7 linked regions of the Callithrix jacchus genome follow. The protein of the gene in region 1 interacts with the protein of each later gene in a pairwise test. Links are inferred from orthologs where the notes say so. Each region holds a gene or a part of one and is shown in the gene's direction. Other genes may lie near its edges.

Region 1 (3,500 bases):
GGTTTCTTTCTGAGAGGAGAATGGTTGACAAAATTTAACATGAGTTTAGGCACTTAGAATGAATGTGTGATTTAGTTGTTTTTAAAATAATTGTTACAAGAGTGTGGGTAAATTCCTTGGGTTCTACCCCCACTCTTTTAACTTGAGTTACATCTTTATTAAAGAGGAGTGTATATTAATGACATGTACTTTCCTATACTGATGCCTTTAGGAGAAGCTAGAGCATCAGTATGCACAGAGCTACAAGCAGGTCTCAGTGTTAGAAGACGATTTAAGTCAGACTCGAGCCATTAAGGAGCAATTGCATAAGTATGTGAGAGAGCTGGAGCAGGCCAATGACGACCTGGAGCGAGCCAAAAGGTAAACGAATGACTGCATTTTGTTAGAAAAAAATGAAGTTGATAATTAGTGATTAAAATCTTTATTGGGCTTTTCCCCTAGATCTTAGTCCCAGAACATTCCCTTTTGGTTTTTCATGTCACCTGTAACTCATCATACGGAAAAGAACCCCAAATTCTCATCTCCCAGATAATGCCCTTCACAGCTTTTCTCTTTCAATTTTTCTTTTTTCCTTCATATGCCATTGTTGATCTTACTGGTTTTGTTTTTGTTTTTTTTTTTTGAGATAGGGTCTTACTCTGTCACCCAGGCTGGAGTGCATGTATAGAGTGTGTTATTTATTTAATTCATGTACTCTAATTTTTCTTTTTAGGGCAATAATAGTTGCCCTAAAAAGTGGCATGATCTCGACTCACTGACACCTCTGCCTCCCAGGTTCAAGCAATTCTTGTGCCTCAGCCTTTTAAGTAGCTATGATTATAGGTGTGCACCACCACACCTGGCTAATTTTTGTATTTTCAGTAGAGACGGGGTTTTGCTATGTTGGCCAGGGTGGTCTTGAATTCCGGCATCAAGTGATCTGCCTGCCTCGGCCTCTCCAAGTGTTGGGATTACAGGCGTGAGCCACTGCACCTGGCCTGGGTTGTTTTTTTCTAAACTGTCTCATGCCTTCCTCCATCTTCTGTCGGTGTTCTTAACACTTCCGTACTTCCTGTAGGTCCTCACATCTTATACCTGCTTTCTGTAGTTATCTTCTAGCTGATCTATCTTATATTTCTATTCTTTTTCTTCTCATGTTTTAATACTGACTGATGAATTTTCTTAAAATGTTGATTCAGTTCAAATTTTCTGAGCAGCCTACAGTGGCTTGCTATTACTCTTGCCAGACTTTCATGCATCTGTTATTATTTGTTTCTTTTTTTTTTTTTTTGAGACGGAGTTTCGCTGTTGTTACCCAAACTGGAGTGCAATGGCACGATCTCGGCTCACTGCAACCTCCGCCTTGTGGGTTCAAGCAATTCTCCTGCCTCAGCCTCCCGAGTAGCTGGGACTACAGGCGCGCACCACCATGCCCAGCTAATTTTTGTATTTTTAGTAGAGACGGGGTTTCACATTGTTGACCAGGATGGTCTCGATCTCTTGACCTCATGATCCACCCGCCTTGGCCTCCCAAAGTGCTGGGATTATAGGCGTGAGCCACCGTGCCCGGCCACTTTTCTTAATCATTCCAAACTTAGTTCCTATTACTTTATAGTTGTTTCCTGGTATTTTCTTCCTATTTATGCAGTGAGTCTTAAGTTACTGATGTGATGTTAAATGTACAGATGCAGAGCTAGTCAGGTCACTAACCTTGGGGGTGACACATAGGTACATTCACTGTGTTAATAGCCTAGTAAAAAGAAGTGGGCAAACTGCTCAAGGGCATAGAGGAGGCAACAGCCAGAGCACCTGGGGGAATTTGAGAAGCCATTGCTGAGTCTGCAAGGAAGAGTATACGTTAACTGGGTGCAAAGGCAGAAAGGCAGGAAAGTGCTTGAGGTATTCATATTTGACCTTTTTTTTTTTTTTTTTTTTCCTGAGATGGGAGTTGTGCTCTGTTGCCCAGGATGGAGTGTAGTGGCTCCGCTTGCACTCACTGCAACCTCTGCCCACTGGGTTCAAGCGATTCTCATGCCTCAGCCTCCCTAGTAGCTGGGTTTACAGGTGTGTGCCACTCTGCCTGGCTAATTTTTGTATTTTTGGTAGAGATGGGGTTTTGCCATGTTGGTCAAGCTGGTCTCGAACTCCAGACCTCAAGTGATTTGCCCACCTCGGCCTCAAAGTGCTGGGATTACAGGTGTGAGCCACTGCCCCTCGCCCATATTTCACATTGATTGATGTGTATAGTGATAGCGTGGCTGAAGGAGATGAGCCTGGAAGGTGGTTGGGGCCAGACTGTGAACAACCTAGTAGGCTATGTTTGAAAGTCACTGTCTAGGCAATGGAGAACTCATTAATTTTGTTTTTTAAACAAAGGAGTAATATCAGATTTTGATTGGAGAAGATAGTAATGAGGAATTGGAAGTAGACAGGAGATGTGAAGACCATTTAGGAGTATCCAGGTGGTGAATGAAGCATTCAGGCAGAAGATTGGAGGAGGTTGGGACAGAAGGTTGAAGAAGAAATGGATATGAGAGACATTTTGGCAATTGGTAGGAATTGATAAAATTAGATGTGGCTTTAAATTCCAACTTGAGGTGAAGGAATTTTATTTCTATAGCAGATTGCACATAGTGTGAGACATAGAATAGGTGCATGTTAATGTTGAATGAGTGTCTGAGAAGTCCAGGAAGAAAAGGGTTGGTGGGAGGTAAATGGAGTGGGACAGTTACTGGTGGAGGGTCTTGACTGCAAGTCATTCAGGTTCTTGACATTTTGAACAAAGATTTGTACAAAACACACAGCAAAGCAAGGAAGGAATGAAGCAACAAAAGCAGAGGTTTATTGAAAATGGAAATACACTCCCCAGGGTGGGAGCGGGCCCAAGCAGCAGCTCAGGGGCACTGGTTATGGGATCTTTTGGTGTCCAGATACTCTCTAGAGGTTTTCCATTGGCCACTTGGTGTATACCCCATGCAAATGAAGTAGTGGCCCGTGATCAGTCTAATTAATTGGTTAATTGGTTGCAGAGGGCAACCAATCAGAGGCTGAAGTGAAGTTATAAAGTAACACCCTATGCAAATGTCTGATTGGTTGCAGAAAACAACGAGTAGCCTCTGGTGCTTTCCTTAATTGTGTTTGGAAAGTTCGGATTTTCCTTTTGATTTAGTTCTACGAAGTCAGTGTGAGTTGGCCTTAAGTTTCCTGACTTGGCACTTAATGTTTTAAACTCTCATATATATATATATATATACATGACAAGTGTTGAAAAGTTTTCTTTCTGAAAATGTGTGAACTTGATTTTGTATTGTGTTCAAAATACAGTGTTAGATATAAATAGCGTAACAACTAGCCTATCTGTAGGGAACATTATGGAATAGATGGGAATTTAAGGGAATATATTGAATATATTGCCCAAATGATAGAGACACTACGTGCCATCAGTGGTCAGGAAGGGACAAGAACGTTTTCTTTGGATGGGGCCAGCCTGGCTAGGTCAGGAAATGTCACGAGATAAATGA
Region 2 (3,500 bases), on another chromosome or scaffold:
AGAAGAATTTTTGTGAAAGAAAAACAATAGTTGCCTGGTACAGTGATCTTGCTAGAGTGATGGAAGGGTTCTGTCATATTGATATATGGGTTATATAGGTGTGTGCTGTTCTCAAAATTACTGAATTTCACTTAAAATCTGTACATTAGCAACTTGATGAAAATTATACCTCTATTTTTAAAGATTACATTATCTTTGGGAACTGTTGAAAATTTGAATTCATAACCTAATTCACAACATTTTAAATTTTAATTAAATTTTAATGGACAGTTTTTAAATTAGCTCTAAATTACTTTGTTACAATGACTTATTTTTTATCTAGTCTCTATATTCATTTCCTCTCTGAATATTAAGATTTTGAGTAATGATACATAAAATTGAAAGAACAATGAGTTTTAAATGAGAAGCCTTTGGCTGGGCACAGTGGCTGACGCCTGTAATCCCAGCACTTTGGGAGGCCAAGGTGGATAGATCACTTGAGGTCGGGAGTTTGAGACCACATGGCCAACAGGGTGAAACCGCATCTCTACTAAAAGTACGAAAATTAGCCAGGCGTGGTGGCAGGTGCTTGTAATCCCAGCTATTCAGGAGACTGAGGCAGGAGAATGATTTGAATCTGGGTGGCAGAGGTTGCATAGTGCCAGGATTGCACCAGTGTACTCCAGCCTGGGTGACAGAGTGAGACTACATCTCAAAAAAATAAAAATAAAATGAAAGGGACTTGAGTTTTATTCTCAGCTCCCCTTCTTAATAACTGCATATTTTTATAGCCTTTCTAAACCTAGAATAAAGACCTTGTGGGAAATTAATGTAAAATAGAGAGTAGAAATGGTGTCACTCATCTATTGTTATGGTGTTAAAAGTAAAAACAAAACAAAACCCAGAAAACTAGGATCATAGGGTACCCATTAGATTGCTTGCGAAACTTGATGTCACATTCTGTCTTGGCATCTTTTTAGTCTCACTTCACTGTTTTCTAACTCAGTGGTGGCAGTATTAATTGTTGAGTCATAGGATTTCTTAAGTTGTGCATCAGATGTTGAATTATAAAACATTTCTACTCTTCCCTGAATACAAAGGTAGGGTTAATTAGAAATTTATTTTAGGGATCTCCTAGGATAAACTAGTGACTCAAAATAGTTTAATAATTCAATATAAGTACAACAGTAAATTTAAGCCGAAGAGAAAGAGTTATTAAGTTAAATCTGGCAAATGTGGTCATGGATGATGAGTAAGTTGTTAATAGCAATCCAAGGATATAGCTTATCCAGGATTTTCTAGTGTGATGGTAATCTACTTTAAGAGAGCCAACTGAGAACTAAAAAATCCCGAATAAGATATATCCATTAAATTAATAATATGTCAAATCTTTGTGCTTTACATAGACAGCTCTGTGAAATTTCTAAATTGGTTATAGATAGCTGTAAAAAGAATTGTTAGTAATTAGAAACATACCTAAATCCACTTACCTGGGGGCATTTTCACTACAAACGATAGGATTTGACATTACAGAATACATTGTAGGAGCATGCCACATAAGCAGAGTATGCTTTATATTTCTAGGAGGAAAGATTTGCATTTTAAAAAGCACAAATTATACATATTATTCATCACATTTAAAAATAAATTGCCTCTCATATTCATCAGACCAGCCCAGAGTCAAATTGTGAGAAATATAACAGTGGTGATTTTTTTTCTCCTCATCAAAATATTTTAAATAAAACTTTAGGTGAAAAAAAATTATGAAGCTCTCAAACAGAGACAGGATGAGGAAAGGATGGTACAGAGCTCTCCTCCAACATCTGGTGAAGACAACAGATGGGAACGAGAAAGTCAAGAAACGACTAGAGAACTTCTGAAAGTTAAAGACAGATTAATTGAAGTAGAAAGAAATGTAAGTATTTTTTAATTTTAGTAGGAATCTTTTTTTTTTTTTTTAGAAATAGAGGATAACTGGATATATTTGGATATATTTATCTTAGATACATTTTCTAATATTTAAACAATTCATCACACTTAATAAGAAAATTCTAGTCACATAGGCCTTTTTCTATTTATTCCTACCTCAGGGGACTTTGTTTTTGCTTCTTCTGCCTGAAACACATGACTGGCTTCCCTTAGCATTTGGGTAGCATATCATATGCCCTGCAGAAGGTCTTCCCTGACTTCTTCCCCCAGTAAAGTTGTTATCCTCAACTTAAACTGTTCACTATTGTTCCATTTCTTAGTTTTTTTTAATAGCAGTTTTCACAGTTAAATTATATTTTGTATTCATTTAAGAAAGTAGGTAATTTGTCTTTCTTTTTCACCATCTTTACTATCTAGATTAGTGCCTGGTAGGTATTAGACACTTAACAAATATTTGCTAAGTTAGTTCAATATATACTTGATAGTAAACAACAAGCAAACAAACTGAACAACAAGTATTTACCCTTCATAAGTTGAGTAAACTTAAGGAACTTACACAATAACAAGTAAAATATTTGTGGTGGTAGTTACTATTTTTTAATTTAACACAAGAATAGTACCTTTTAAAAAAAACTAAGCTAAAACCAAAAATTAATCCCCACACCCATTGATTACTACTTTCTTATTCAAAAAGAATCACTATAAACAGTTTATCTTCCTAGAAAATGTTTTTGTCATTTCTCTGTATGTAAAAGTATATTTCTTCGACAAATTTATACCTGTGGGATCATGCTATACAAAATTCCTGTTTGTATTTTCAGTTAATGTTATCTTGGAGATCTCTCTATTTTAGCAGATGTATGTATATTTCATTTTGTGTAATGACTACCTATTATTCTGTAGTATGTTACCATAATTTACTTAAATAAATCCCACATTTCTGGACGTTTAGGTTATTTTGAAACTTGTTCATAGAATGCTAAATTTCTGACAGTGAAATTGCAAGGCCAAAGGATATATATACGTGTGTGTGTGTGTGTGTGTGTGTGTGTAATTTTAATTGATTTTTCTATTAGTATTTAAAAATCCCATCAATTTTCTTTTCTTTTTTTTTTTCCCCTTTTCTGAGACAGGGTCTCACTTGTCTCCCAGGCTGGAATGCAGTGGTGAGATCATAGCTCACAGGAGCCTCATCGTTCTAGGCTCAAGTGATCCTCTCACCTCAGCCTTCCAAGTACCTGGAAGCACAGGTGCACACCACCACACCCAGGAGACTTTTGAATGTTTTGTAGAGATGGGAGTCTCACTGTGTTGCCCAGACTGGTCTCCAACTCCTGGCCTCAAGTGATCTGCTCTCCTTAGCCTCCCAAAGTACTGGGATTACAGGTGTGAGTCACCACACCCAGCCTAAAAATCATGTCAATTTTCAGTCTCACTAATAGAGTATACCTGTCTTTCCAGATGAACACTGGATATTACCTAGTGTTTAATTTTTGTTAAAGCAATAGGAGAAAATAATTTGTACATTTAAAATTGTGTGTTAGGCATTACATATCTTTCACATATTTATTGGCCATTTATAAATGCCTATT
Region 3 (4,246 bases), on another chromosome or scaffold:
ATCTTGTTGCCTCCTCCATAGCATCCTAAATCTTACCTTCCTTTTTCACATTTATAAAAATAGTTTCCTACAGTTGTCTCCCAAAAGCAGAGTTGTCCCCATGCTATAATATACATTGACCACTCAGATTCATTTAAAAAGTACATCTTGCTTTTATCCCCAATATAACCACATTTCAGAAGTTAGATTATAGCCAGCTAGATTATATAGAGCACACACACACACACACACACACACACAAATGTGTAGATTACTTATTTCCTTAAGTTGTTTCTCAATACCTCATGCACCTGATCACACCTTGTAATCTGGGCAGAAGGTAAGGGAGGCGATGTCAGGTACAAATTTAATATTGGATCTATTTTCTACATAGAAATGGTCCTACATTCTATCAGAATGGGTTAAAAAAAGATACGCACACACACACGGAATTAAATACACTACATTTGCTGTATTGCCTTCTATAGGCATAAATATACAGGAGTGGGGATAAAGAAGGGGATGAATGGGAAAGAGTTCAGAACTCAGTGTTAACCTGAAAGGAAATGAGGCAGTGCAAGGGGAGAGAGGATCAAGGGAAAATAAATTATGTAGGCAACAGAAGCATGCATCAGAAGTCTTTTCGATCCCTAAACTGGCAAATTTTCTCCAGGGGACCATCAGTCAAATGATGTCAAATTGGTAGCTGGTTCTGCTTGTAATGCCTGTATTGTATAGGACCTTCTGTGTAGGAAGACAAGTTCCACTCTCAGACACAGTCGCAGTGCTTCCATTATCTTACAGAATTGATTGCTGCAAATGGTTCCTGGGAGGTGTGACCTGCTTAAAGGAAAGAACCAGGTTTCTTTTCTTCTTACTGAGGAAGGAAGACACTTGTCAACATGTGAATTGGATGGGTGAGAAGGAGAAGCGGAGAAAAAATCTGGTAATTCCTTCTCTTAGAGGAGGAAAAGAAAGAAGGTAGCATTGGAACCTTGGACAGGAGAAATACAGTGCATTTATTTCCAGCATCCCCGCAGTCACTTCGCTTCTCTTTAGACTCCCCCCTATTCTTTAGTCTTGACCTGCCAATGCACTTGGACTCCAGGTAAGCACCGGGATAGACTGGGGGTAAAAGGCCAGGTCAGCGCGGTGGGATACTACGTTCCCTAAAATGAAAACTCAGCAGCGGGCGAGCAGTAGGTGTACGCGCGTCGATGCAAGAGGATGCGTGCGTGAAAGCCGGCGGACGCAGTGGGCCGGGCGCCGCCCTCCCAGCCCACCCCACTCCGCGTTCTATAAAGGCCGCGCTGGGGCCCGCCCTCCTCACAGCCCGGGAGCGCGGCCTGCCGGGGAGGTGGTTCCAGTGCTCCCCACACAGTCACACTCCGCGCACTCACACACTTGGAAGCGCCTCCCCACGTCCCTCCCCTGCCCTCCTCTTGCTCTGCTCTCTTCTCCCTCACCACAAATAGTCGCCGACCTACTGCCAATCTGCCTCTCTCTCTCTCTCAACATGACTGACTGGGAAGCGCTGGCTCGGGCAGAGCAGCTCCGTTGGCGCAGGCAGGAGGAGCAGGAGGATTATTAAATAACGCAGCTCGACTCTGTGCCACTGAGAGTGGAGAGAAGGAGCCCTACGGCCGAGAAAGGGAGGGAGGGCAGAGGAGGGGGACCAGGAAGGACACCCCGGTGCCCCGAAGACATAAATCCCTGAGTGCCCGGGAGGAGCCTTAACAAGCGGCACGGAGCCCTCAAGGTAGTAACGCCCGTGGTGCCTCAGCGCCCAGCGGGTCGCGCGTCGCGTCGCCGCTGTGCGGGGCTGGCCGCAGGCGGACGTGAGGACGACCGCCTGGCAGGTGACTGCGCCGTGCCGGGGCCGCCCGGGAGCAGCGCGCGCCCAGGCCCGGAGCGCCGGCTGCGGGCCCGGCGTGCTCGGCGCAGAGACCTGGCCTTGCGGGCGGGGTGGGAAGGAGGCGGGCGGGTTCACTCGCTACCGGCCCGCGACCCCCGGTGCGCTGCGTGGCCATTTCCTCCGCGCTTCTGCGTGGTTTGCTTCCTGCGACGGTGGCGGCCGCTCCAGGGCGATGCGGAGCGGTGGCCAACGAGGCGACAGTTGGCGCAGGCTTCTGGTCGCTCCTCTCCCTCGCCACTCACGTCCCGCAGGTAGGGGCGGCCGGCCACTGCTGACGCCCGGGCTGCGGGTGCTGAGGCGGGGACGGCGGCGAAGAGGGGGAAGGGAAGGAGGGGGCGGGGAGCCCGGGTCTCCTGTAGGAACCGCAGTGCCCGGCCGGGTCCGCCTCTTGCCTCCGCCTGCTAGTCCTCTGGCGCTGGTTTCTTGGATTGGAAGCAAGACCCTGCCCAGAGGCAACAGTAACAGCAGCGACTTAGAGTGAACCAATTGCTTTGTGGTGGCGTGTGTGTGTGTGTGTGTGTGTGTGTGTGTTCGCGCGCGCGCGCGCGCGCACGGTCCGGACTAACCAGTAGGTTGGTTCACCTGAGTAGAAAGTCAACCCTGAGCTGAAACCGCATGTGGCCCTCTGGCTGGCCCCTTCGACTTTTGGCTTGTGTCCCAGGGACTCCTACACACGGTGCCAGCAAGGGGTAAGGGTGACGGAGGGTTTTGTGAATGGTGCTTCTCCACCCGTGGAGTTTGAGCCTTCCTGATGTAGAGGAGGAGGTATCCAGAGTGAGAAGAAAGGCTATTTATGGCAAAGAGTTGTGAAATTTCTTGGGGTTTCCTTTAGTGTATCCCCAGCTGCTCTCTTTCTCTCTCTCTCCTCTGTCTGTCTCAGAATTAGAAGCAATTATGCTTCCCCCTCCTCTTGTGGGACCTGGAATATGAAATGAAGTAAAAAAAAAAAAAAAAAAAAAAAAAACCACTTATATTTTTACAGGTAGAAGAAAAATACTTCTTAGAAGTTACATATTCTTTGCTCTTTTATGTTTTTATGTCCTCTACTCCACTCCTCTTACCTTTTGAGGCAGTCAGTAGGACTTACAAGTCAGAAAATACCTACTTGGTTTCAACAGTTTTCATTTCTGAAATCTTTACAGTCGAATACCTTCCTATTGAAATGTAACACATATCCTCCATTCTCTGCCCCCCAAAGGCTATTAAAAATAATGTGTACACGTTTAACGTAAAGGTGTTTTTATTAAAAGCCTCAGGGAGAACAGAGGCATGGACACCTTCGTGGGGGTCAGTTATCACTGGTTCCTTCAAAACCGGTTGTTAAGGGAAGACCTAAAATACTTTGAGTCTAGTCTATAACATAATTTGTTTTGGTTTCTCTGTTTGCTTTGTAACAGGTACATGTTCCAGATATGTAACTTGAAACTTAGAGATGACTTGGGGCAGTGCCTGTCACGGTGCTTATAAAATGAATGTTTTCTCTTAAAAGTAGCAACCTGTACTTTTAGAGGACCGTGACTGGGTTTGATAGGACAGTGTCCTTAATATTTCAAACTGAGATAACTAAGAGCGTGCTAGCACAACGTTTTCAAACATTGAAATTCCATGTTGTAACCACACGTTCAATAGTTTCACTGAAGAAAGAAGTAAATTGGTCAACCTATTGTTAGAGTGACTTGTCTTCATTTAATCAATCATTTTGATCAAACAAACCAACTGTTGTTTGTATTGTTTTTTCAGCGTGAACATAGCTTTCCTTAAGAACTGGTTCATTTGAAAAACAAAGCAGAGTTAAGGATTTGATATTTATATTTTGTTACATTTATATTGATTTGAAATACACTTTAAACACAGAAGCATGTGCGCAGCTTTAAATATTAGGTTAGAACTCAGATGGGGAACCACACTCTGAGGGTTATTACCTCAACTATCCCAAACTATGGGAACATAAATATAATAGGGAACTTAAAAATGTAATTGATGAACTGTATTACTGCAATCATTAAAAGTCCGATTTATGAGTATTTCGTTTTTTGACAGTCAAGAGAATCAGCAGCTGTTTATTATTTTAACGATACATTATTTATACCATCAAATGTTAAATTAGATAAAACTAAAAGTAGAAAATGAAAAATTTATTACATTTTTACCATAATAGTTATTCAACCCTTTATTGCATTTTACTACTCATCATAATGCTCATAATAAAGTGCCTACTGTGTGCAAGGTACTACTGTCTAGGCATTGGAAAGGAACAGGAGATTCCTTGTTCCCTGTCCTTCGGAACTTACTTGCCATGTGGGAGGAATATGATGTTCATGCTTGAACATAGAGTTAACAACCCATAACAAT
Region 4 (4,162 bases), on another chromosome or scaffold:
GCTGCACAGAGCTGTGATGAATGTGCAGGTGGCTGTTGAGTAGTTTTTAGGCTTGGAGAACAAGGTCGTCCTAGACCTGGGGACTCCTCAGGTTTCATTTCTGTGAACAGCACTTCCAGTCACATGGGTCACAGACTGGCCCACTGTAAGAGGGGCTGTGAGCAGGGTAAGGACTGGACACCCTGTCATCCCCCAAAGCCCCTTAGACAATGCCCCCAGGCTGAGGTCTCTGCAGCTTACTCTTCTCCTTTCCCTGAAAACAACAGACTCAGACTCCCTTGCATGTTCATTTGTCCAGTTAGTAACCACTTGAGTAATTGCAAAGTTCAGGGTTCTTTGAGGGACACAAAGATGATTAAAAAGCAGATCCTACCTTCATGGAGTTTATGGGCAAGTAAGGGAGAAGAGTTATATACAAATGAGAAGTGGAATGAAAAAATAAAATATAAAGCAAGATCAGGAAGTCTGCCTCGATTCTGTGGCATTTTGAGTTATTTGTTGGAAAAATCAGGAGGATTTGGCCATGATGAGGTGAGAGAGTGGGGAGAGCATACTACTGGCAGGAAGGGCAGGAGCAAAGGCCTGGCAATAGAAAATCATGGGATGTATGAACATATGGGGAACTGAGAGTCTGGCAAGAGGGAGAGGGGTTGAGAGGTAAGGGAGAACCTTCTATCTGCCACTATCTACCAGGTGCAACACCAGAAACATTATATTCTTATTTTGCTTTGAGGCTTACAAATACTGTTCTCTCTGGTTTACTGAGGAGAAAGCTGAGGCACAGGGAACTGAATAACTTGATTCAGGCCAGGCAAGTATTAAGTGGCAACCAGGATTTGCTCCTGTGACTGTGTGACTTTAGAGCCCATGCTGTCTCTACTGTAACAGAGGTTCCATGAAGGAACATAGGAAAAAAGGATCTGTGGCATTTTTCTGGTCATGTGGGCCCTACAGTCTCGGGCAAGGAGAGAGCCCTTGGACCGACAGTGAGGCAGTAAGGCTCCCAGGCTTCGGGACTGGCCTCAAAGTCCAAAATGGCTGAGCTTTTGGCTTCCCATCCCACATTCTATTGGAGGAGCCACTGGCCTCTGGTGTGGGAATCATGGAAGCCAGAATGGCAGGAGATACTGGAATAAAATTTAAGAGATGGACTTGATTGTGGATTTTCATTCTTAAGACCACTGCAAACCTAGCGTCTTTGCGAAAGCCCTTCCTGACTCCCTCCCACGCATCTCCGACCTCCCCTTGAGTCCAGGCAGGCTCGGTCTGCACACGGCGTTGTTCTGCACTTGTTCCTTTGTTGCTGTGAAACCGGCTCCCGGCACAGTCAGCCTCTGTGTGGGAGGACTTGTAGCTGTCTTTGCAGGCAGGCATTTGCTTAGAGCAGGCTGTGTGCTAGCCCAGCGTCAAGTGATTCCGGCCTCCACGAGTCCGCGGTGGTGGGATGAGGCTCTGCCGAGGGGACTGGCTGTGAAGGATGAGTTCAGGGTGGGATGACGGACCGCTTCTGGGACCAGTGGTATCTCTGGTATCTCCGCTTGCTCCGGCTGCTGGATCGAGGTATCCTGAGTGTGTGTATGCTTGTGTGAAAGAGAGACTGAGAGAGATGGATACACACAGAGACGTAAAGAGACATGCAGAAAGACACAACAGAGAGGGGAGGGGAGAGCCAAGAAGAGAGAGAAGGAATGAAACAGAGGCAAGTAGCAAACCCATGGAAAGTAAAGAAAGACTATTTTTCTGGGGACATGTATGACCCAGCTGGGAATTGGGAGCACAGGGTTCATTTGGGGCAGCATCTGTATAAGAGGATCTCATTTCTTGATGGGTTTCTCATCAAGCTCAGTACTGTAGTCAAGTACAAGTTAAGCCCATTCTTGCAGGGCTTTTGATAGAACTCTCTAAGAAGCAATGCAGACGGAGAAATGGTTCCTGCAGCCAGAAGCTGGGGGCAAACAGACTCAGGCTCAAGTCTCAGCTCTGCCACTGACTTTAGTCTGATTTACGTGATTTTTCTGAGCTTGTTTACCCATCTGTAAAATGGGCATGGTAAAACCTATGTGCTAGGGTTGCTCTGGAGCTATTGTTTAATTCATACATGTAAAATATATAGCATCATGTCTGGTGCACACAATAGGTGCTTAGTAAATGCTGAGTTCCTCCCTGCGCACCTCTTAGCATCATGGAACTATTAACACCCACCTATCCTAAGGTTACTTCCTTTGTTGATTATCTGTAGAAAGAGCTGGTATAGAATTTGCAGTTAGTGGAAAGAAAAGAGAAAATCAGTTTTATCCCTCAGGTTAATCTGACCTTAATACATTTTACCATCAGGTATTAATGCAATTAAAGTCTCCTGATAATGTGACACAAATCCAGATGTTCTGTGAACTGTTTTGGTAATTGATTTTTTAAAATGTTGAATGTTATTTTAAAAAGCTTTGGCTTCTTTAAGAGGTTTTGGCAAGAATGAGATCAAACTCCTGATGGGAAAGATGGCCCTGGGGAAGCCTTGCTACACAGACCAAGGTGAATTCATCTCTATCAGGAATAGTCTTAGTGTGCTGGGAGATCAATACCAGGTGAAAGCAGAGTGCTGCAAAGAGCAGGTGAACCACGGCCCTTATCAGGGGAGAAATCAAAGATGGAGGAAACCAAACCAGCACACACTAAAAGCAGTTTCTCACTAGCACGGAGAAACAGGCCAGTGGGAGCCCAGACTTGAGATGAGGGTGTTAAGAAGGGAACCAGAACTTCATACTGTTGACGATCACGGACTGGGAGAAGGGAGAAGAGACCACCAGGTGTAAATCCTCCTTATCTGTGTGACCTCAGGCAAATTGCTTTACCTCTCTGTACCTGCTTTCCTTCCTTTGTTTAAAAAAAAAAGGGGGGGCGGTGATGATCACTGGGGCCTGTTGTGGGGGGTGGGAGAGCTAGGGGAGGGATAGCAGGGGGTGGGGGGATTGGGGAGGGATAATATTAGGACAAATACCTAATGTAGATGATGGGAGATGGATGCAGCAAACCACCATGGCATGTGTATACCTATGTAACAATCCTGTGTGATCTGCACATTTACCCCAGAAATTAAAGTATAATAAGAAAAAAGGAGGTGATGAGGATAATAGTAGTACCAATTCAGAGGGTTGCTGTAAGGGCTCAGTGAGAAAATATAAGTGAAATACTTATCCCAGTGTATGGCACAAACAAAGTACTCTTTAAATGGTAGATTTCATTACCAAGACAGTTAATTTTCACTCTCCAACAAACATCCCGGGAAAGACAGGAACAGGTGGTATGTAATAACCAGGAACTAAGAAAAGTGCAATTAAGAATGGTTAGGGGCTTAGAGACAATTTATACTTACATGAATTAAAACAAGATTCACACGACCATATGATGCTAATTATAAGAAGAAACTAGATGTTAATGTATAAGCTATAATACTACAAATTTATTTTTATCTTTTAGAAATGCTTGAATTCATGAATCAAACTTAGGCTCAAGTTTTAGCTCCATTGCCTTCTAAGTGCCCTTGAATAAATGGCTAATGGTAAGGACTTAAAAAATAAAGGGTATTGTTTTCTAGGGCTATACTTAACCAACCCTCAGTTTGTAAATTTTAAAAATTGGAATATTAATAATAATACCCATGTCATAGAATTTGGGGGAAATTTATGGTGTTAGTGTATATATAGCATTAGTCATTTTGGAAATGCCAGGTTGATGAATTTATGGGCTGATAGATTAACCTGTCCCCTTGGATAGCAAAACTGGTTGCAAGAATTATATGGTCTTCCATGCATGTTTGATTACCACATATGGCTGTAATTTGAAAGTTTATGTGTCTTTCAATCTATAGTGTTTTCCTTAATGTGAAGTTTTAGATTAGTAGCTCTTGATTAAGTAGGGTGTCTGATTTCCAGGTGTTTGGAGGTTGGGTGTTGATTATGTTGCCCAGTTCTGGTTAATTGGTATTAAAGTATTAAACATGTGTGCATACCCACATCCATATTCAAAAAGAATTTTCAGATATAGCAACTGTCTTCTCATAACGAATGTTACCTAACATTGAATAGAAAATGGCATGCTTTACAGTGGGGTGTTAGGCTGAGCTAGCTCATGAAAGATGCTCAATAAATATTTGTTGAAGGAATGA
Region 5 (3,500 bases), on another chromosome or scaffold:
AGTAAGATAATTGGCTTCAAGGAACCCACAGCCTCATTTGAAGTTGAAACAGTCACACAATTCATTACAATCCTGTATCATAGGGAGAGAAATGTGTTTAAAGATGCCACATGAATGCAGATGAAGGCACACAATAAAATCAGTCAGTTTTTGTTTATCCCTGATAAACACAACATGTATTCGGGAGCTGTGGGGATCAGCAAAAGCAAAAGATGCATGCTCTCTGTCTTTTAAGAAGACTCTAAAGTGGTTAGAGAAATAAGAGGAAAACATACATGAAATAACTATTACAAAATTTAAGTACAAGTTCACATTGACATGTATCATAGGACAAGTTCTAGTGGACTTTTCAAATATTAATACCTTTTTAAATTTTTCAATAGTTTTTTGGGTACAGGTGGTGCTCATTACATGGATAAATTATTTAGTGATGTTTTCTGAGATTTTGGTGCACCTGTCACCTGAGCAGTATACACTGTACCCAATGTGTAGTCTTTTATCCCCCACCCCCTTTCTACCCTTTCTCCCAAGGCCCCAAATCCATTATATCACTCTTATCCGCTGCCACTTATAAGTGAGAACATACAATATTTTCTTTTCCATTCCTGAGTTATTTCACTTAGAATAGCAGTCTCTAGTTCCATCCAATTTGCTGCACAAGCCATTATTGCTTGCTTTTTAATGGCTGAGTAGTATTCCATGGTGTATATATACCACATTTTCTTGACCCATTTGTTGGTTGATGGGCATTTACGTTGATTCCATATTTTGCAGTTGTGAATTGTGCTGCTATAGACATGCATGTGCAAGTGTCTTTTTCATGCAATGACATCTTTTCCTTTGGGCAGATACCCAGTAGGGGGACTGCTGGATCAAATGGTAGTTCTACTTTTAGTTCTTTAAGGAATTTCCATACTGTTTTCCATAGTGGTTGTACTAGTTTTCATTCCCACCAGCAGTGTAGAAGAGTTCCCTTTTCATTACATCCATGCTAACATCTGTTGTGTTTTGATTTTTAAATTATGGTCATTCTTGCAGGAGTAAGGTGGTATCTCATTGTGCTTTTAATTTGCATTTCCATGATAATTAGTAATGATGAGCATTTTTTTCATTTGTTTGAAGCATATCAAAAAATTTTCATATGCCATTTCTATATCTTCTATTGAGAATTGTCTCTTCATGTCCTTAGGCCACTTTTTTGATGGAATTATTTTTTTTCTTGCTGATTTGTTTGAGTTCTTTGTAGATTCCGGATATTAGTCCTTTGTCGAAAGCAGTTTGCAAATATCTTCTCCCATCTGTCTGTTAACTCCGTTGATTATTTATTTTGCTGTGCAGGAGCTTTTTAATTTAATTAGGTCCCATTTACTTATTTTTGGTTTTGTTGCATTTGCTTTTATGTTCTTGGTCATGAACTCTTTGCCTAAGCCAACGTCTACAAGAGATTTTCCAGTGTTACCTTCTAGCATTTTTATGGTTTCAGGACTCAGATTTAAGTCTTTAATCCATCTTGAATAGATTTTTGTATAAAGTGAGAGATGAGGATCCAGCTTCATTCTTTTACATGTGGCTTGCCAGTTATTCCAGCACCATTTGTTGAATGTCCTTTCCACACTTTATGTTTCTGTTTGCTTTGTCAAAGATCAGTTGGCTCTAAGTATTTGGCTTTATTTCTGGCTTCTCTATTCTGTTCCATTGGTCTATGTGTCTTTTTCATTTTCTATAGCCTAATTATGGAAGTGATGTATCTACTTTTTTAATACTTGTTAGTACAAAAAAAAAAGCCAAACTCAAACTTATAACCTAGAAGTTATATACATAGTAGAAATGTACATTTAAAATAATTTATTTCTCTTTTTAAAATAGTAGTATTATTTATGTATTGAAAAAAACTTGGAAAGCACAGTTTGTTTATTTATTTATGTTTTTTAAATAGAGAAAGGGTCTCATTATATTTTCCAGACTGGTCTCAAATTCGTGGGCTTAAGTGCTCCTCCTGGCTCGGCCGTCCAAAGTGCTGGGATTACAGACATGAGCTACTGTGCCTGGCCCTAGTTCACTATTAATACTGTTATAGAAAAATAGCTCCTATTAACGTTTTTCCTCAGGTTTCTTATGTAGTGTTTCTTTTTTCTTTTCTTTTCTTTTCTTTCTTTTTTTTTTTTTTTTTTTTTTTTGGTGATATTATAGTTTTTGGTTGGTTGCTTGGTTTTTGGAGACAGGGTCTCTCTGTTACACAGGCTGGAGTATAGTGGTATGATCTCTGCCCACTGCAGCCTCTGCCTCCCAGTTCAAGTGATTCTTGTGCATCAGCCTCCTGAGTAGCTGGGACTACAGGCACAGGCATACGCCACTACACCTGGCTAATTTTTGTATTTTTAGTAGAGACGAGGTTTCACCATGTTGGCCAGGCTGGTCTTGAACTCCTGACCTTAAGTGATCCATCTGCGTTGGCCTCCCAAAGTGCTTGGATTACAGGTGTGCGCCACCACGCCTGACCAATAATATTATGTATTCTTTATATAAATAAGTATACTGATTTTTCACATATGCTATTAATGTAATTATTTTCTTGTTATTATACATGCTTCATAGATATGTGTTGTAATGAATAATAGTCTTTGCAGGTGTGTTTTAGTTAATCATATTCCTATTCTTAGGATATTGAGGCTTTTTAGTTTTTCATTTACATGTAGTACTGTCATAACGCTCTCTGTAGAAAGTGTTTTTCATTTTCAAAGTAATATCTTTTAAGATGTATTCCTACACATGGAATTACTGAATTGAGGAAGGTGAAATGTTTTTAAGTTCCTGACCTTTCTGCCAAATTACATTCTGAAAAGATTTTCCAGGTGCTGAGCACAGAATATCCTCTTCTCAAACAGTTTTAAAAATTTGTTATTAGGGAAGTTAATCTTTCCATGTGTTGTTAACCAGCTGTGTTTCTTTTTAAGAATGTTCTTTACCAAAAACATATTGGGATCTTGGGATTAAGAAACAACCTTTTTAATCAAGCGTTCTTTTTTTTCATTTTGTAGCCAAAGAAACTCTCCCCGATTTGGTTTCCATCATTCCTGACACAGTCCCGAGTACTGACCTTCTCATTGAAACTACAGCCTCTGCCTGTTACACATTGAACAACATAATCCAAAACAGTTACCAGAATGCACGGGACCTTCTAAACACTGGGGGCATCCAGAAAATTATGACCATCAGTGCAGGCGATGCGTAAGTCTGTCAGCTGCCTCCCTGTTCCCTCACCACCCTGAATGTAAATAACCCAGTTGTGAAGGTGCAGTCATCAGCATCATGTGCAACATGGCAGCAAACAGGATGTAAAGCCAGATAATCTGGTCAGCCCTCAGTGATCAGCCAAAAGAAGAACCGAATCCATCACGCCACATGCTTGTCCCTTTTCTTCTCAAGTATCACGAGAGGGTCAAACTCCAGAGCCTCTCTTGGTAGTGTATTGTATTGGCCTAATGAATAAGTTTCCCAGA
Region 6 (3,042 bases), about 13 Mb from region 1:
TTGCCCTGGGGCTTGCGGAGGGAAGAGGGAGTCAGTTCTAGAGCACACCTGCTCTCCACCACCCATTCCTGCCACACCTTGTCCCTGCTCCCTCAGCACCTCCTTTCCCGCAGGAGGCACCCTGGTCTGGCAGGACAACACAGCTGTGAACTACTCCAACTGGGGCCCCCCTGGCCTGGGCCCCAGCATGCTGAGCCACAACAGCTGCTACTGGATCCAGAGCAACAGTGGGCTGTGGCGCCCTGGCGCTTGCACCAACATCACCATGGGTGTCATCTGCAAACTCCCTCGAGGTGAGCGCCAGGCAGCCCACACTTAATCTCCTTCCACCCCGTGCAGCTGGTCCTGGGCTGGGGCTGGGGGCTGCTTCACAATCTGCAGGGGACATAGACAGTGGGAAGGCCTGAACAGACCGGACCGGGGGCAGCTGGGACCTGTGGGATAAATTAGTCTGTGGGACAGACTGGCCCTGAAACTTACCATCCAAACTAGACCACAGAGCCCAGGGGTCAGCAACCCCCTGTCACTTTGTAGTGGTCAATGTCATGGATGGAGTTCAAGTCCTGGCCACACCACTTATCAACGGTGTGACTTTGGGCAGATTCTGTGGCCTTAGTTTCCTCATATGTAAAATGGGAATAATAGTCCTGGGCCAGGCGTGGTGGCTCACACCTGTAATTCCAGCACTTTGGGAGGCTGAGGTAGGTGGATCACTTGAGGTCAGGAGTTCAAGACCAGCCTGGCCAACATGATGAAACCCCGTCTCCACCAAAAAGTACAAAAATTAGTTGGGCGTGGTAGCAAATGCCTGTAGTCCCAGCTACTTGAGAGGCTGAGGCATGAGAATCACTTGAAACCTGGAGGCAGAGGCTGTGATGAGCCGAGATCGCACCACTGTACTCCAGCCTGGGCAACAGAGCGAGACCCTGTCTCAAAAAAGTCCCGACCTCCTAGCGTGCTAGTGAAAATGAGGTAAGTTAGGGGCTGAGACCCAGGCAGTGCTTTGTATGTTTGCTGAAGTGATTATTACGGTGCACTGCTGTTATTAACTGGCCCCTCCTCTTGCCCACAGCTCAGCAAAACAGCTTCTCCCCGTCAGGTGAGTCAAAGGCAATGCTCCCAGGTGGGCAGGCTGGAAGCACTGCTGGGCCTAACGCCGGCCTGGACCTTAATGCCACTCACCTTGGCAGCGCTTCCAGAGAACCCGGCGGCCCTGGTGGTAGTGTTGATGGCGGTGCTGCTGCTCCTGGCCTTGGTGACCGCAGCTCTCATCCTCTACCGGCGGCGCCAGAGCAGCGAGCGTGGGTCCTTTGAGGGGGCCCGCTACAGCCGCAGCAGCTCCAGCCCGGCCGAGGCCACTGAGAAGAATATCCTGGTGTCCGACATGGAAATGAATGAGCAGCAAGAATAGAGCCAGGGGCGTGGGCAGGGCCAGGGTGGGAGGAGCTGGGGAGCTGGGACCCTCAGTCGGCCGGGCCCCCCACCAGCTACCCGTCCAGTTGGCCTATGAAAGGGTGCCCTTAGTAGTCCCTGTTGGGAGCTGGGCAGGGCCTGGGCTGGTGGGGTGCCACCCTCCCACAACGGCTCAGCTGAAACTCAGCTGAGTGCAGCGTGGCGTTTCCTTTCTTGGGGGCCTGAGATCTTGTCACCTGGGCCTGAGCCCCACAGTAACCAGAGGTAGGATGGGAGGGGGAATGAGAGCCTCTTTGTCCCCATACCCCTGGCCCAGGCCTGTTGACCGTGCCCCAGGACCCCTTCTTTGCAGAGCCTGAGGAGCCTCCCCTGTCCCCTCGGGCAGCTCTGTCGCCTCTCTCTTCCCACCTGGCAGCCTCAGCAGCTCTGCGTCCCTCACCCTGCTCCCTCTCACCCCTTCTCCCCACCCCTTCCTTCTGAGCTGGGCCCTGGGGGTTGGGGAGCCCTCTTGTTCCTGGTGAGGGTCAGTTGAGGGGGCTGAGCATCCATCACTCTTGTGACTGCTGAGGTGGCCATGAGGACTGGCAGGAGAGTGGGGCCTGGTAGGTGGGTCAGACCTGAGAATCAGGGCACAGGTGTGCTATCTGCTGGGCTGGAGACAAGACTGGGGAGATACCCCAACCTCCCAGGTGGCAGCTGGGCTGGGCTGGGGTGTCATTTCCTGACGAGTGGGGGAGGGCTCTGCCCCTGAGAGTCCCCCGTGGGGACCAGAATAAGTTCCCTAATGTTTCCAGCTCCTGGCTCTGGTTTGGAGCAAGAGAGGGGTTGCCAGAGTCCTGGGGCCCCCAGAGGAGCGGGAGCACTGGATGACCCCGAGTTCCCACCTTCTAGTGGAGCCAGGAGGAGCAGCACCCGAGCCCTGGAGCGCCCCAGTGCCCTGCCAAGAGGCGCAGTCCCAGCCAGGACGAAGCATGCGGCCTCTCCTGGTGCAGCAGCGTGGGACAGTGTGAACAGACTCGAAGACAATGGCCCTTTCTCTGTAGTTGATTTTTTCAATGTGCCATTATTGGTTTTTTTTTTAAAGGAAAAAAGAAAGCAAACAAATAAAACACCTTTAAGAGGCTTGAAAGAGGTTCTGCCTTGTCCTGTTGTGAGCCTGGTTCTTAACACCCGTCCCTTCAGCAGTAACTGTCCTTTGGAGCTGGCACCACAGGTGTTTTCTGCACCCGGCCATTTTGCTTCTGTCTCTGGGCCTCTAGGGGGCACTCTCACCCTGGATCTTCTTCAGGAGCTCACCCCTCTGGGCCTGCGCTTCCCTTTCTCTATTCTCGTCCCTTCCTGGGGGCTTGAATGTGGATGAGAACTCAGGAGCCAGGCCATCTGCTGCTGAGCAGCTGGGCAAACTTGAGCAACTTAGCTCACCCTTCAAGCCATGTACAGTGGGGAGAACCAGACCCACCTCCTAGGGTATCTGAGGATCAAGGAGATCATCTGTGCAGAGCACTCAGAACAGTGCCTCTGGGATCCTTCGTGCTGGCATGACTGCTGTTTCTGGGCTGCCGCTCCAGGGGAGTGCTTGATGTGTCTGGGCCGGCACTGGGTGGGGGCTCCACATCACCATCCTTCCAA
Region 7 (3,500 bases), on another chromosome or scaffold:
TTTAGATTATTATAATTAGGTTTTCCTGTTGGTGAAGATTGCTAAATATACAAATGAGAGCCTATGGGAATTATGGGGCATCATCTTTCTTGGCAACTCTTCTCTACCTGAGCAGTTAAGCCTGGGTGCCAACAGAGAAGAACGGAATGGTTCTCTTCTTGTTTCTGTGGATCAGCCGTTGTACTGCTCACTGGACCAGAACTGTTCTGCCTTAGTAGAGGGTTAATTTTTCATGGAATGATCAACTGAGTTCTGTCCTCTTGCCGACAGTATGAGGTAACGCGTTCTGAAGCAACCCAGATGTCACCATCTGATCTAACTATATTTGGTTTGCAGAAGGAGCTGCTGAAATGTAAACAAGAAGCCAGAAACTTACAAGGGATAAAGGTAAAAAAGGAAGGCGTTTAATTCTTTAAATAAAGTCTCTGCAACATAAAGTAGTCTATTGGTGAGTGGTGAGAGTTGGAATTTTCTGTGGACCTTTAATAGCTCTGTGCTATTGGTAAAGAAAGGGCTTTGTGGGAGGGAAGTGAGACATATCGAGGAATATACCTTTGTTTTGCTGTGGCTTATTTCTAGTAGTTATGACTCATGGTGCTGCCATTTCCATGTGTGCCACCTTGATTGTCTCTACATGTAAAGGAATCCTCTTCAATGTGAAAGAACGTCTTTTAAAAAATTATAATTTACTTAACACTGAAATTTCCCTTGACATGATCAGTTAAAAAAATAAAATAAATAAAAAAATTATAATTTACTTTGTTTTTGAGTAGTTAACTAACATTTGAGTCATTTAAAGGTATAAAAAAATAAACCATGCATGAAGTTTGCCTGCCAGCCCTGTCCCCTCGGTTACCTAGTTCTCTTTCCTAAAGGCATCTTTTTTTTTTTTTTTTTTAGAGACAGAGTCTCACTCTGTCTCCCAGGCTGGAGTGCAGTGGCGTGATCTTGGCTTACTGCAACCTCCACCTCCCAGGTTCAAGCAATTCTCCTGCCTCAGCCTCCCCAGTAGCTGGGATTATAGGTGTTCACCATTATACCTGGCTAATTTTTGTATTTTGAGTAGAGATGGGGTTTCACCATGTTAGCCAGGCTGGTCTTGAACTCCTGACTTCAGGCGATCCACCCACCTTAGCCTCCCAAAGTGCTGGGATTACAGATGTGAGCCGCCACACCCAGCCTCCTAGAGGCATCTTAACAGTTATGAGCACATCGGTGTGTATATCATTTTCCCCCATGGTTTTACTCTAATGGTTGTATACTATAAATATAACTTGATACCTTGCTTTTTTTCACTTAGTAGTGTATCTTTGAGCTCATTCTATGTCAGTAATACATAAAGACTTTCCTAGGTCTTTTTTATGGCTGCATAGTATTTCACTGTATACGTACATAATGTTGAATGATTTATTATATACGATAATTTCCAATCTTTTGCTAATATAAACAATGATCTAACAGCCTTGACTCTATGTTATTTCACCCAAACGAGAGTATATCTGTGGAATAATACCTGGAAGTAGAAGAGGATGTTTTTAAGCTGCTGCTTTTCCCCTCTTCCTTATGTATCCATTCATGGGCTAGACTAGAGTTATCACTCAGCAACATTTTCCAAAGTATATTCTGTAGGCTTCATACTTTGGAAACACTTCTAAAAACAAATGTGTTCCATGGTCAGATTAAGTTTGAGACATGCTCTGCAATCTTGAAGACTGAATAATAACATATTAAAGGATCTGAAAAGGTCTGTCAAAACGAGATTGGCCTAAAAATGACTTAGAATTACTAACCACAGAAGTATCTTTTCTTCCATGTAATGCCATGGGGCACAATAATGTCCCACGGAGCACACTTTGGGAAATATTCCTTTAAACTACTGATGCTACGGGTATCTTAGTACCTTTACCGTGTACTGTCCTGGGAGAGAGCATAATTAAGAACGGGCTCCCACATTCTTCAGAGTCTGTACCATTTCTTCGCAATCTGTAAAGAGAGAAAAGTCAGGACAAGTGTTATTAGAATGCAGTCCTAGTCCATTAGTTCCACTTGAAGCCACCATGGTCGATGGAATTTGTCATAACTGTCCTTATAAGTAAGCATATCCAGCTCATCTTTTGTTAGGCGTGATAGGAACCAAGAGAGTTCAAGCTGAGGGAAAGAAGGCCTAATGCTATTAAGAAGAGAAAAAATCAGGTTTCAGTAAGTTTCATAGAATGGTGGTTAGGATTTTGCTCTGGATGCTAGTTTCCTAGAGGGGGACAGAAAAAACCCTGCTCAGCAACTTGTGGCAAGACCCTTTTACTCCATTTGTCTTCCAGTCTGCCGTCATGAATGCTGGAAACACATTACAGTGTTTAGTAATTTTTAGCAGTAACTGGCTGATTGATGAATTGAGACAACAACAATTAATATGCTTTTTCCCATAGGATGCCTTGCAGCAGAGATTGACTCAGCAGGACACATCTGTTCTTCAGCTCAAACAGGAACTACTGAGGGCAAATATGGACAAAGATGAGCTGCACAACCAGAACGTGAGTTAAATGAATGAGCGTTGGCCTCAGTGAGCCCCATTAGCAGAACAGGTCGCTGCTTCAAGTGCTATTAGATCGGCCATCCTAATCTCTTTTCTTGCTCCTGGGATGTCTACCCTAAATGTCTACAGTTATTTTTATTCCCTGCTAGACTCATCTCTGTTCCTAGGTGAAAGCACACATCATACTGGGCAGGAAGATCCTTGATATCCTCTTCAACTTTGAGGACACTGAGATACAGAGGCAAAATTGTGGTTTTGCAGTCCAATTATTTCACTACAAATGTGGAGAGCAGCTGTGTATTTTTACCACCATGCCCTGTCTGTGCTACGTACTGTAACTGCCCACATTAACTGTGGTTAAACTAAGTAGCTGGTTTCCTTGAGGGTTAGCAGACAATACCTCCGTGCCGTGAATTCTTTCCTATCCTTGCAGGTGGATCTGCAGAGGAAGCTAGATGAGAGGAACCGGCTGTTGGGAGAATATAAAGTAAGAATGAATTTCAGGTTGGAAATGACTTCCACTGACCTTTCATGAACAGCCCGTTATTGTTGCTCAAAAAGCACTTAAGTATTCTAGTCTCATCCTTGCCTTTTAATTATTTTTTTCATCCTTGCTTTTTAGAAGGAAGTATTTTTTTGTGTCTCCTGATAGCCCTAAAGAATAAATGGCACAGCTAGGAAAGGGAGCACAGAATCAGGGGTCTGGAAACTTCAGTTCTAGTCTTACCTTTATCTCTGACTAGTATGAATGGCTCAGAGCGGTCCTCCTACAAATGGTAGTTCCCTTCCTCATTTCTATTGAGGAATCCTTTGCACTGTGTAAGACTATTATGGTGTGTAAAGTCTTCCTGGTACATTTTAAGGAAAGGACTTTTTTTCCCTAAGACTCTACTTTACTTGAGTGGAAATTATTTTGCAGAGGGTGAACTTTTCAGTGTTCCTGGTTTTGCCATTCATCTGAAAGCTC

Evidence for each region.
Region 2: the proteins of NDEL1 (region 1) and CCDC88A interact in a two-hybrid assay, tested with the Homo sapiens proteins (2 studies listed by BioGRID and IntAct). The link is inferred for Callithrix jacchus from reciprocal best matches to the Homo sapiens genes NDEL1 and CCDC88A.
Region 3: the proteins of NDEL1 (region 1) and CCSER1 interact in binary tests that used the Homo sapiens proteins (3 or more experiments, as listed by UniProt). The link is inferred for Callithrix jacchus from reciprocal best matches to the Homo sapiens genes NDEL1 and CCSER1.
Region 4: the proteins of NDEL1 (region 1) and KALRN interact in a two-hybrid assay, tested with the Homo sapiens proteins (2 studies listed by BioGRID and IntAct). The link is inferred for Callithrix jacchus from reciprocal best matches to the Homo sapiens genes NDEL1 and KALRN.
Region 5: the proteins of NDEL1 (region 1) and PKP2 interact in binary tests that used the Homo sapiens proteins (3 or more experiments, as listed by UniProt). The link is inferred for Callithrix jacchus from reciprocal best matches to the Homo sapiens genes NDEL1 and PKP2.
Region 6: the proteins of NDEL1 (region 1) and MRC2 interact in a two-hybrid assay, tested with the Homo sapiens proteins (2 studies listed by BioGRID and IntAct). The link is inferred for Callithrix jacchus from reciprocal best matches to the Homo sapiens genes NDEL1 and MRC2.
Region 7: the proteins of NDEL1 (region 1) and DIXDC1 interact in binary tests that used the Homo sapiens proteins (3 or more experiments, as listed by UniProt). The link is inferred for Callithrix jacchus from reciprocal best matches to the Homo sapiens genes NDEL1 and DIXDC1.

What each region holds. Positions count from the first base shown.
Region 1 is NC_133506.1:74,969,451-74,972,950, forward strand, and holds part of NDEL1 (nuclear distribution protein nudE-like 1), read left to right. Parts: intron 1-211; coding exon 212-360; intron 361-3,500. UniProt on the Homo sapiens protein: Required for organization of the cellular microtubule array and microtubule anchoring at the centrosome. May regulate microtubule organization at least in part by targeting the microtubule severing protein KATNA1 to the centrosome.
Region 2 is NC_133515.1:58,860,151-58,863,650, forward strand, and holds part of CCDC88A (girdin), read left to right. Parts: intron 1-1,729; coding exon 1,730-1,894; intron 1,895-3,500. UniProt on the Homo sapiens protein: Bifunctional modulator of guanine nucleotide-binding proteins (G proteins). Acts as a non-receptor guanine nucleotide exchange factor which binds to and activates guanine nucleotide-binding protein G(i) alpha subunits.
Region 3 is NC_133504.1:107,412,866-107,417,111, reverse strand, and holds the start of CCSER1 (serine-rich coiled-coil domain-containing protein 1), read left to right. Parts: upstream 1-1,446; 5' UTR 1,447-1,738; intron 1,739-4,246.
Region 4 is NC_133516.1:78,975,298-78,979,459, reverse strand, and holds the start of KALRN (kalirin), read left to right. Parts: upstream 1-1,362; 5' UTR 1,363-1,493; coding exon of another isoform or gene 1,494-1,560; intron 1,561-4,162. UniProt on the Homo sapiens protein: Promotes the exchange of GDP by GTP. Activates specific Rho GTPase family members, thereby inducing various signaling mechanisms that regulate neuronal shape, growth, and plasticity, through their effects on the actin cytoskeleton.
Region 5 is NC_133510.1:38,672,468-38,675,967, forward strand, and holds part of PKP2 (plakophilin-2), read left to right. Parts: intron 1-3,038; coding exon 3,039-3,228; intron 3,229-3,500. UniProt on the Homo sapiens protein: A component of desmosome cell-cell junctions which are required for positive regulation of cellular adhesion.
Region 6 is NC_133506.1:87,931,341-87,934,382, forward strand, and holds the end of MRC2 (C-type mannose receptor 2), read left to right. Parts: intron 1-113; coding exon 114-293; intron 294-1,072; coding exon 1,073-1,099; intron 1,100-1,190; coding exon 1,191-1,411; 3' UTR 1,412-2,542; downstream 2,543-3,042. UniProt on the Homo sapiens protein: May play a role as endocytotic lectin receptor displaying calcium-dependent lectin activity. Internalizes glycosylated ligands from the extracellular space for release in an endosomal compartment via clathrin-mediated endocytosis.
Region 7 is NC_133511.1:11,701,484-11,704,983, forward strand, and holds part of DIXDC1 (dixin), read left to right. Parts: intron 1-336; coding exon 337-387; intron 388-2,426; coding exon 2,427-2,531; intron 2,532-2,966; coding exon 2,967-3,020; intron 3,021-3,500. UniProt on the Homo sapiens protein: Positive effector of the Wnt signaling pathway; activates WNT3A signaling via DVL2. Regulates JNK activation by AXIN1 and DVL2.